3 linked regions of the Schizosaccharomyces pombe genome follow. The gene in region 3 interacts genetically with the main gene of each other region. Each region holds a gene or a part of one and is shown on either strand. Other genes may lie near its edges. The genes, in order: air1, fin1 and pfd5.

The links.
Region 1: mutations in pfd5 (region 3) and air1 together harm fitness more than expected from each alone (negative genetic interaction), as found in Schizosaccharomyces pombe (2 studies listed by BioGRID).
Region 2: mutations in pfd5 (region 3) and fin1 impair growth when combined (synthetic growth defect), as found in Schizosaccharomyces pombe (2 studies listed by BioGRID, with this or other methods).

Annotation. Positions count from the first base shown.
Region 1 is NC_003423.3:978,771-982,454, reverse strand, and holds air1 (TRAMP complex zinc knuckle subunit Air1), read left to right. Parts: upstream 1-1,686; 5' UTR 1,687-1,874; coding exon 1,875-2,096; intron 2,097-2,145; coding exon 2,146-2,247; intron 2,248-2,302; coding exon 2,303-2,926; 3' UTR 2,927-3,097; downstream 3,098-3,684. Other genes in the region: SHREC complex ATP-dependent chromatin remodeller Mit1, read right to left, coding at 1-387; U1 snRNP-associated protein Usp103, read right to left, coding at 562-884, 944-1,159, 1,206-1,215; ilv1 (acetolactate synthase catalytic subunit), read right to left, coding at 3,337-3,684. UniProt on the Schizosaccharomyces pombe protein: Component of the TRAMP (TRF4) and TRAMP5 complexes which have a poly(A) RNA polymerase activity and are involved in a post-transcriptional quality control mechanism limiting inappropriate expression of genetic information.
Region 2 is NC_003424.3:1,352,258-1,356,012, reverse strand, and holds the start of fin1 (NIMA-like serine/threonine protein kinase Fin1), read right to left. Parts: upstream 1,793-3,755; 5' UTR 1,654-1,792; coding exon 1,594-1,653; intron 1,326-1,593; coding exon 1,302-1,325; intron 1,256-1,301; coding exon 1-1,255. Other genes in the region: nucleoporin Nup40, read left to right, coding at 2,354-2,589, 2,777-3,656. UniProt on the Schizosaccharomyces pombe protein: Promotes chromosome condensation and nuclear envelope dynamics during mitosis. Activity appears at metaphase-anaphase transition.
Region 3 is NC_003423.3:4,025,251-4,029,005, forward strand, and holds the start of pfd5 (prefoldin subunit 5), read left to right. Parts: upstream 1-2,155; 5' UTR 2,156-2,167; coding exon 2,168-2,354; exon of another isoform or gene 2,355-2,408; coding exon 2,409-2,518; exon of another isoform or gene 2,519-2,561; coding exon 2,562-2,667; exon of another isoform or gene 2,668-2,732; coding exon 2,733-2,794; 3' UTR 2,795-2,866; coding exon of another isoform or gene 2,867-3,055; 3' UTR 3,056-3,096; coding exon of another isoform or gene 3,097-3,755. Other genes in the region: SPOM_SPBC215.01 (GTPase-activating protein), read left to right, coding at 1-1,826; COP9/signalosome complex subunit Csn1, read right to left, coding at 2,867-3,055, 3,097-3,755. UniProt on the Schizosaccharomyces pombe protein: Binds specifically to cytosolic chaperonin (c-CPN) and transfers target proteins to it. Binds to nascent polypeptide chain and promotes folding in an environment in which there are many competing pathways for nonnative proteins.

The sequences.
Region 1 (3,684 bases), 3.0 Mb from region 3:
ATTAAGTGCGCAGTGAAATTCCTTTCCGAACTTAAATTTCTTGGTACGTGTTGAGTCCCTTAAGACTTTACTACCATTAGACTTCAGTAAATAATCATTTTTCTCTTCCTCATCCTTATCGGTTGAAGTCATATACCCATGGTACCTCTTTCGAGATTTGTGTTTTAACCATACTCTTAAACAAGCTTTTCCATTTTTATATTTATCAAGTTCATCTTTTTTTATCAATGCTTCAACACCCGCCAAGAATTTAACACTCAGTGTGCTGTCATTTTCGTGCAGTATTTTTTGAACGGTGGTTTCAGACGCGTCATAATAAGGTAGTAAAACATCAAGCGGTTCACGACGTACTACTATTTTACATAAAGAATCATCTTCTTTTGGCATGCTTTGAGATGAATATCTAAATATTCTTGGTAAATACTGTGTATTTGGAGTTGTCCTTAAATTTCACTACGTAACGCAAAGAGAAAGAATTACCAGTAGTAAACGGTTATAAACAATAGCTATTATACAGTACATTAATAGTAACAAACAAGTTTTAATCTTTTAGATGTCATTTTAAGCACGTACAAACCTTTGATGACTTCTTTGACCCTGATGGTGGGTTTTAGTAAAATGGTTATTAGCATTCGAATGAGTACGCGCGCGTTGATGTTCATTTGTCTGAGGAAGAGATTGCTGCTGTTGTGTAAGTTGAGTGTTAGAAGAAGCTGTAGTCTGGGGAGCTGAAAAAGCTACTTGGTTTGTTAAATTTACAGCAGGCATCATAGGGACGAATGCAGCAGCATTCATAGCATTCATTCCTTTAGGAGCCATATAGGTATTTGCGGATACAATGTAGGGCGGTGGTGGACATCCTAAGTTAAAGACATTATATTTGGCTAAAATTCGGAATATTAGACTTCGTATTCAACAAAAGTATTATAAAGTAATAACTTACGAGGAAACGCATAAGCATAAGGAAGGTCTAGCGAACCATTCCCCTTTTTTAAAAATCCAGAGGATGCCCTTTCTTCAAGTTGTTTTTGGGCTTCTTCTTGAGCTACTTTCGTATAGTAGTCCTGAACATTTTGTATATGGGCTCTTCCAGCATTGTGTGCTTTTCTAACTGATTGGCTATCATGAGTGAGCCAAACTTGGCAGTAATCACACAAATCTAAGCATTAATTAGTTTTCAATTATTGTTATTCATCGTATCATACATCTTGGCATTTTAGCGTGTTTGGCTGTTGTTGAGTCTTGTAATAAATGTGAGCTGTGTTGAAACGCTAAAATGATTTAAAAAGAAATTAATGTCAATTAGCAACAACTATACAAAGAACGTTCATAGTTAAACATTGAATGTTAAATTACTGTTTATCTATGCTTTACAAAGTGTTGAAACGAAGCTCTCGAATTTTCAACTACTTTAAAATCCAACGCCTTGAAGAGTCGGGAAGGTGCAATCATTTAATATTTTAATATAATTAAGTTACTGCTGTACTTTCAATATCTCTTCACGATCAGGGCTTTTAAGTACCAGACATTCTTGGTTATGCATTAAGTGTTGCATTTGAGAGAACAATTGTAATTTGGAGTATAAGTTATTTATTGAATTTCATTTATTGTCATGCTCATTTCAATGAAATAAACTTCTCATGAGAAAGCCAGATATAATCCATGTAAGGTGAATACTCACACCTTAACCAAAAATTTTTTGCCTTTACTGAAACTATTAAATTTCCATTTGATAGTTAAATACTTGAAGTGTTTTATGTTTTATTTGCTTTTAAACTGTTAAATTGATTGGGAATATTGTGAAGTAAACTACTGGCCGGCTGTTAAGTGTTAAAGAAAACTGTGCTTGCCATTATTACATTGCTTGTCAATATATGGACATGACTGTTTCAAACCAAAAAGCAGAAAGTGATGATGGTTCAGACATCGACGATGCGGCCTTGTTACAAAAAATTAATTCTTTACCGATTGACCAGAGTATCACAAATTCGGTGAGCTTGGAAAAGCATGATTTTCAAGGAAGTGATGACCATGACTCCTCTACGGATCTTTCCGATAGTACTTTGGAAGATGTGGAAGGAAGTGAATGGGCAGACGTATGGATTGAAAAGTTTTTTTTTAATACTTTTTACTAATAAAATTTAGGTGAGCAGGGGTAGATACTTCGGGTCAGATCCCTCAGAAAGTATAGTTTGCCATAATTGTAAAGGGAATGGTCACATATCTAAAGATTGTCCTCATGTTCTGGTATGCATTTTGATCGGACATTGTTTTTTTAATAGTGTTACTAACTGTATTACAGTGTACGACTTGTGGAGCAATTGATGATCATATTTCCGTAAGATGCCCCTGGACTAAGAAGTGCATGAATTGTGGACTACTGGGTCATATAGCTGCGCGATGTTCGGAGCCGCGAAAAAGAGGACCTAGAGTTTGTCGGACTTGTCATACCGATACTCATACTAGTTCGACGTGTCCTTTAATTTGGAGGTATTATGTCGAAAAAGAACATCCTGTTCGCATTGATGTTTCTGAGGTTCGAAAGTTTTGTTATAATTGTGCATCTGATGAACATTTTGGAGACGACTGTACTCTTCCATCTAGATCAAATTATCCTGAAAGCACTGCATTTTGTGAAGCGAACTGTCCTTCTGGAAATGATGCATCTAACAAGGAGTTTTTTGAAACCCGTCGTAAAGAGTTTCAATTGGAGAGGCGAGAGCAGAATCGAAATCAAAAATCGTCGAAACAACGGCCTTTTCACAAACCAGGAAATTCTCTAGCATCTAGGCTGGGATCTAAGCCAAAAAGCTTTAAAAGAAAACATAGCCCACCTTCTGAGGAGAATGGCAATTTATCCTTTCATTCTTCAGATGGAAGAAAATTTACCAAAACTTCAAAAAAAAATCGTAAACGAAAATGGTAATTCATGTGCTGGTATTATTCATCGCATGGTGTATCGCTCTGCTCACATTGCATTGCACTCATTGATAATACTATCTTACTAAAATTTATTGGCAAAATCTAAAATATATGTACATTAATTTTATACACTCTCATTTGCTATGTTCGCAAAATTTGTAATGTTATTGACCTCCATCATCAAAATTAAATACAAGCTATGATAACGGAGTAAACCATAGTTAGAAAGCAAAACAAAAAAAAACAACCAAAATCGAAGATAACAAGGCAAAACAAACAAATTTGCTTTAGGGTAAATAATGACAAACCGCCCACCAGAGTCTAAAAGAATGTGACACGATAATTAACGCAAGTTTAAATAAGTGTTACATCTGACTCTTACAAAATAGCTGTTTTTAAATTAATCAAAAAAATTTATGAAAGGCTTTCATGCAAAATAAATTGGTGAAGAGCCTTACCACCAGGGACAAATGGATACACATGTTCCTTTTGGGCAACCAAAACTTCCATAAGCACAGGACCTTTAGTTGACAAAAACTCCTTCATTTTTTTAGCCAAATCTTCTCTCTTTTCTACACGTAGTGCTTTGATGCCCATAGCGTCAGCCAACTTAACGAAGTTGGGATTCTTTTGATGAGTATGAGAATAGCGTTTCTCATAAAACAAGTTTTGCCATTGAGTGACCATGCCTTGCTCTTCATTATTTAGGATAAGAATTTTAACTGGGATATCAAATTGACGGACGGTAGCAAGTTCCATACC
Region 2 (3,755 bases), on a different chromosome or scaffold from region 3:
CTCTGCTTGATAATTCTTTACGGAGAGTAGGTCTTTTCAATATCGGTTGTTGTGTAGTTAGAGTGAAACCCGGACACGATAACGTTTGCAAGGGCTTGCTAATTCCTAACTTAGGAATATGAAGTAGGGGGGATTGTGATGCTTCAATTGTACAATCTACAAACATCTCAGCGGTACTGCTTTCAGGTTGTTCATTATGATCCACAGGACTTGTAACACGCATTTTCTGCATAGAGTTTACTACGGTTTGCATGTGTCTTTGATAACGAGCATCCATGTCACGCAGTTGCTTTTCCAACTCACGTCGCAATATCTCTTCACGTTGGGCTAAGCGAGAAGCTATAACGTTTTCGAGTTCACTTTCCCGAGCAGAAAGCCTTTGCTCGCGAAATTGGAGATCATTTTCCAATTGAATAAGCATCTGATGTTTTTTATGAAGCAAATCGCTTTGTTCCAAGACTACTCTCTCGGATTCCAATTTACTACGAATATCGGATAAAATAGGAGAGCGAAGTAGCTGGTAAGTAGTAGGTCTGAGGTCTGAATTAACTTCTAAGCAATGCCTGATTAGAAGGAAAACATCGTCGCTGTAATGATGATCCCAACAGGAGAGATTACCCTGGCAAATATTACGTTGCAATTCCAAATACGACCTTCCTTCAAAGGGATGCGTAAGCATGCAGATCTCAAAAATAACACAGCCAAGAGCCCAAACATCAGACTTCGCACTGTAAGGGCTGCTCCGAATTATTTCAGGAGACATATAGTATGGAGTTCCCACGTAACTCTGTGTGAAGACACGCGTATTGTCCAGCAATTTGGATAAACCAAAGTCTCCTAACTTAACTGAATTATTTTCATCAAGAAATATATTCGCAGGTTTGATATCTCGATGCAATACAGATTGTTTAGGATGAAAAATTTCTCTTGGCCACTGTGAGTCACAAGCAGGCGCATTTTCTCCATAATGGCAGCGATACAGAGCAAGTAGTAATTGCGTAAAAAATTTGAGAACCTCTTGCTCGGTAAATCTCTTTTTCTCTTCTTTATAACGTTGAATAAGATTGGCTAAATCACCATGACCACAATATTCCATATAAAGGTTTATTACCTGCGCAGAACGATTCAATTCTTCTCCGCAGTATTGAACAATATTTGGATGCTTAAGATTACGAAGAATATTCACTTCATCTGCGATGTACTGCTTTTCCTGCCGAGTAATGTTACCAAAGTGTATTTCCTTCTGAGCCAAAAGCTAAAAAGTATTAATAACTATAAAAATAAATTGCTTTCAAACTTACAGCACCATCCTTTAAGCGTTGAACCTATAATAGTTAGCATAATGCATAAAAAAGGAGTTGCAAAAAAAAATATCGATCAAAGTTTCAATTTGAAAAACTGTTTTGAATAGAGTACAAACAATAGCGAAAAGCATTTAAATCAATATAGTTTCCCTGTTTCTTAAGAAAACAATTGATTCAATGCTATAGATTCATTTGCCAACCACAAGTAGTTGCTCGCAAATAAACTGAAAACAAGAAAGAATTTTGCTATCCAATAACCAATTTCAGTGAAAATAAGATTAAAACTTACTTTATAAATCCTTCCAAAACTCCCATGTCCAATACACTCAAGAATCTTGTATTTTTCCATACTTCAGAACAGAAGTAGCCCATGAGATTCAGGTAAGCTTAAAATAAAACTAAATTTCTCGGTAGGACCTTTAAAGAAAAAGAAAAATTCTTCTATCAATTAATAATATAAAAAATACTGCTTGGAGTGATTGAGTGCTAAGTATATGAATTTCAAGCCAAGATGTTTATGTTTGGTTCTTCTGCAGTGTCTCGTTAAATCATCAAGTGTAAACAATGTTGCCATGGTTAGGAGTAACACTGTTACTTCAGGTGCTTATTGCTACGATTATAATATATATCCAGTCGCATTTTAATTTCTGTAAGAAAAAGATACGCTATTCAATAAGCAATGAGAAAAAGTTGTGGAGAATTTTTATCATCTATAATGCCTTTTATGACATGATTGTATAAGGTTTGTTGTAAATGAGCTTGGAATTTAACAGAGTCCTTTAAATCAAGTTTTAAAAAAATGAATAGCTAAACGTATTAATATTAGTTTGAGGCTTTCAAAAGATTTATCTGCATGTTTTATAAAAATCAATAGCATTAACAATAAACTGTTATTTTGCGTTAATTGGTTTTAGTGATCTACGCTAGGCTTCATGATTCATTCCATGCAAGCCATCTCCTTCAAATGAACTTACCGCTAATTTATATACGTTGCAAAACATATGTTACACAACAGTCTATCACAAGACTCTAGTAATATTGCCGGAAACATGTCTTTTGGGGGAAGTGGTTCTATCACGAATCGATCAACCTTAAAGCCACTTTCTGTCGATGATTTACGTTCGCCCTCTCCTCAAAAAGAATATCGTGGATTTCGAACATCTGTTTCTAACATTCCACAAGAAAAAAAATTTGTTCCCAGTCATCTTTCACACTTTGGATCAAGTCAGCAGCGTCGATTTGCCCCAGAGGTTAGCTCGCCTTTAGCAGAACCATATGAGTCATCGTAAGTAATTTCTTTGAAGAGTTTAAGGGACATTTGAAGACGGAGGATTAAAAAATTGTTTAGTATAATTGCTTTTTTACCTAATATCTATCTATATCCAAATTTGTTAGAGCTTCAGCCTAATCCCTATGAATTTTTAAATATTAGACATAAACTCTTAGAACCTTTACTAATTTTCTCTAAATAGCTCTTCCTTCCGTTTATCTCTCTCGAGTCCCCCTTCTTCAAAATTCGGCGGACCCAGCTTTGGTACACCGAAACCGTTTTTGCATACAAATCGTTTAGGTACCGGATCTTTAATTGAAGATGCTCCTCCTACTCAATCCATTTATGACTTTTCTTCCTCTAGGCAAATTAATGCTCTCAATGTTGGACAAAGTTCTTCCCCTTTTTCTCCTGTCTCTGAAAAGGTATACGACCCTTCTTTTACCATGTCTGGCGCTCCTCAAGATTCAAATACCTCCGTTATCGTTTTCGGTTTCCCACCAGAATTGACAAATCAAGTAATAGCTGAATTTTCTCGTTTTGGAACTATTATTAGCGAGAATTCATTAACTGCTTCAAGTGCCGGATTCACTCCCTCCAAGGGTCCCATATCTGGTAACTGGCTACAATTAACATATGCTGAGCCTTCTTCTGCTGCCAAAGCAGTTTTGTCTAACGGAATGTTGATAAATGACTCTTTTATGGTTGGATGTATATACAGCCCCGCAGAAGCGAAGGAGCATGTTCCGAAAACGTTAAGAAACAGCAATAAAGACTTGGAAATGACGGATGCCTCTTCCTCCGAAACCTCAATGTCTATTCCCGTGCATGCTGATGCCCATTTCCAATCCCAATCTGGTCTTGGTAAAAAAGTCATTGTTCAACACAAAAATGATATTTTTAAATCTTCTCAGAAACATCAACCTCGTAATTGGTTATTTCATTATTTATTTGGTTTTGGTTCAACTGAGCCAATAGATGAGGAAGAAAAATCTAAAACTGCTTCTGACAACACTTCGCTTCAAACTTCTCTATTTGGAAAAATTGTTCAAGTCGTATTGCACACATTGTTTGGGTTTTAAACTTGTTGCTCAATTAATTTGGATGTTATGATTGCCAAAACTTGGTTATTTAGTCGATCCTACAGACAAAAAGCTTGAAAGGTTTTCATATGTACAGTA
Region 3 (3,755 bases):
GTGAAATATGGGAGCTTACATCAGGCTCCATGTACTTTCGTTTAGAGAATTCAGATGAATATGATCATCTTCTTAAAGTGTATTCTGGTCAAACATCTTTTTCTTTAGAGGAAATAGAAAAGGATTTAGGTAGAAGTCTTCCAGAATATCCTGCTTATCAAAATGAAGAAGGTATCAACGCTTTGCGAAATGTTTTAGTAGCCTTTTCTTGGAAAAACCAAGAGGTTGGTTATTGTCAGGCAATGAATATTGTTGCAGCTGCTCTTTTAATTCATTGCACCGAGGAACAAACCTTTTTTCTGATGCATAAGATTTGTGAAGATTACATTCCGGGTTATTACTCAAAGACGATGTACGGCACTCTAATTGATCAACAAGTTTACGAAAGTTTGGTTCAACGCTCAATGCCTAACTTACATGCGCATTTTGTAAGCAAAGACATTCAACTTAGCATCATTTCTTTGCCGTGGTTTTTGTCGCTTTTCCTTTGCACAATGCCTTTACCGTATGCGTTTAGGTTGTTAGACTTTTTCTTTCTAGAGGGTCCAAGGGTTTTGTTTCAAATTGGAATGGCTATCCTATATGACAACGAAGCTGAAATTATGAAGGCTACAGAAGACACTATGTTGATATCAATTTTAAAAAATTATTTTTCATCATTGGGAGATAAGGCTTATAAAGATGCAACAGATAAACGCGTTGCCTCTATCACGAAGTTTCAACTTTTATTGGTAACTGCTTTCAAGAAGTTTAGCCATATAACACACTCTTTAATTGAAGATGAAAGGAAAAAACATTACGAAGGAGTTATGAATTCTATTGAGTCATTTGCAAAGAGAACACAAATTAGGAGTTTACAAAATTACGGTACATTAACACGTACGGATTTAAGTAATATTTACGACCGTTATCATGAAGTATTGTCGTCCAAACATCGAGTTGGATTAGGCAGCTCTACTGATACACGGTTGGAATTTGACGAATTTTGTATATTTTTAGCAGGAGTTACTGAATGGGCGAAAGGTTTGGATGCAGCGGCTATCAATAATTCATCATCCTTTCTTCGTCATTTGTTTTTACGATTTGACAAAAGCATGACTGGATCATTATCTTTACAGGATTTGGTGTCCGGTATTGCAGAATTGAAATTTAGGGATGTAATGCGCAATATATCTTTTATATTCGAGCTTTATGACTTTAATGGAGATGGTTTTATGGATAAACCAGACGTTTTGAAGGTTTCAGAAGCTATTCTTTGGTTAACTAGGTTTATGGGTGATGAGTATCTATCCGCAGTTAGCGAATTCATACAACGCTGCTTTCATTTTGCTGATGAAGCTAGTCCTGATGGTCATTCTGATACGTTGATTGATATAAGCGACCATATGAGCAGTACTGGTTCTGAAAACCGTTCTGTTGGTGCTAATAGTGATATCAAAGTTAGTCTTCCCACTTTTAGAATGGTTGTTTTATCAATTGGTTTATTAGAGCAATTATTTTCTGGAGGACTCGCCGACTCTATCGTTTTAGCTCCAGTCCAAGAAAAATCATCAACCACCGGAGGTTTGAGAGGTTTATTGGATTCTTTGGTAATTGATACCAATAGGATTGGTAAAACATTTCGTGGGCATAAACCCGCTTCTCGTCCAAGTACCGCAAATGGTACTAGCAATCAAAATACTACTTCTGAAATTACCACATCGGAAACTACGGCGACTGAAAAAACACCTTCAAATTCTTCAGATACCGAAGATGATGTTGGTGATGTTGTAGAAAACGATAAAGATTTGCTTCAATTTGATCCATACAAAAAAAATGATGCTTAAAAAGCTATACTTAAACTTCTAATCAATGGCACTATAATGCATCCTAACTAGTATTATTTTCCCAAATTTTGTTAATCTTCATGCTCATAATTTATTAATTATTGAAAAATCTATCATCTATATTGATATATTCTATAGCGTCCCTCTGCTCAATAACATATTCGATTCTACTTTCACTGTTTGGTATAATTCTGAATAACTGTTTAAAACAAATATTGTTTCAACCAACTAACTGATTGTATATTGAAATGGATTACCATGTACCTGTAATTTAATGCAGTGCAGCGTTGGAATTTCTACCAGTTCCTTCGTATCTTGACTGTTCTAATAGAAGCGTAATAATGGCTGAAGGTAATAAAGCGGTCGATTTGACTTCTCTCAGCTTGGAGCAATTATCAGAAGTTATAAAACAGTTAGATTCTGAGCTAGAGTATCTATCGACCTCCTATGGACAACTAGGACGTGCTCAATTGAAATTTCGTGAATGCCTGGCAAACGTTAACGATGCTGTGCGGGCTGAGAACGATGGTATAGACAAACTGAAATTTTTTTTGCATATGTTTCACTAACTATTGTCAATAGGAAAGGAGGTTTTGGTACCTTTGACTTCAAGCTTGTATGTTCCTGGAAAGCTGAATTTAGGAAACAGTAAATTGTTGGTCGATATTGGGACTGGTTATTACGTTGAAAAGGTATTTTTAATATATAAGAGATTTTTAAACCTAACGACATTAGTCCGCTGGAGAAGCTACCGAATATTATAAAAGAAAATGTGAATATCTCGCCAGCAGTATCGAGAACCTCAACAATGCCATTGACGCAAAATCAGTTCAAATTAGAGGTATGAGCATTTACAGTACAGATCAATTTTTATCTTATTATCAACAATTTGCTAATTCTCTGTAGCCGTTCAAAACATTATGCAACAAAAGGCAACAGCTACAACAGCTGCAACTAAATCTTCATAAGCTAAATAATTAATGAAATTTCAAAAAAAGTAAGTAAAGGATTAACCAATTATATGATGTGCATGCTTTTTGTTAGTTCTGTGAATCTTCCGCGGTAATGTTCGTTTGAGCGATAACTGGAGCTTCGTCGTCAGTATTTTCAGTGTTCATCGCCGCCAATGTTTGTAAGTAAAGAGCCTTGCTGTAAAGCAAACTAGTTTGCGCGATATTTTTTATGTCCTCGAAGTTTTCAGGCTCTGAAGAAGGTTCGATATAAACACGCTTATAAAGTTAGACCAATATAGCAGATTTATTATACTTACCTTTTGAAGAGAGTCCACCTTGCCATTTAATTTTTTGGCTTCGATTATTTCTAATAAATTTTTCTCAATGAAGTTCTCATCAATATGAAAATCAACTGCAATTTTGCTGAACGGCAAAGCACTGTAAGGAATTAAATAGTCAAGAAGTGAACGCTCCCGAATAAGGGAAAATAAATTTGTCAATTGAGGAGCCAGATACATGTCTAAAGAATAGTCTTGAGCATTTTGCTGTAATGTATCAAGCAAAAGACTATATTTGCGATTACATTTCGCTTGCAAACAACGTCTCAGGGAAGGGTCTAAATCTGACAAAGCATTGAACTCTTCATTTCTTTCAAGCTCTTGAATCAGACGTTTATGATCCCAGCACGCTAGTGCACAAAGTGAGATATACACTGAAATGTCAGTTTTTGTAATAATACCATCAGAGGTATCAGTTTCAACTTTTAAAAAATGAGCCAGGGCCTCTTCGTAATCACCCAAGCAAAAGTTGGCCAATCCACAGTATGCATAAATAGGACTAGTTAGCTCCATGGCTGCACTAACAGTAGACTTGGCGCGAGACCCGAAGGCTAGTACATGAGAATAATTACCAATCCAAATAGAAATTCTCATTAACTCTAAGGATAAATGAGCAATTTGTCCAGCATTTGTACAAT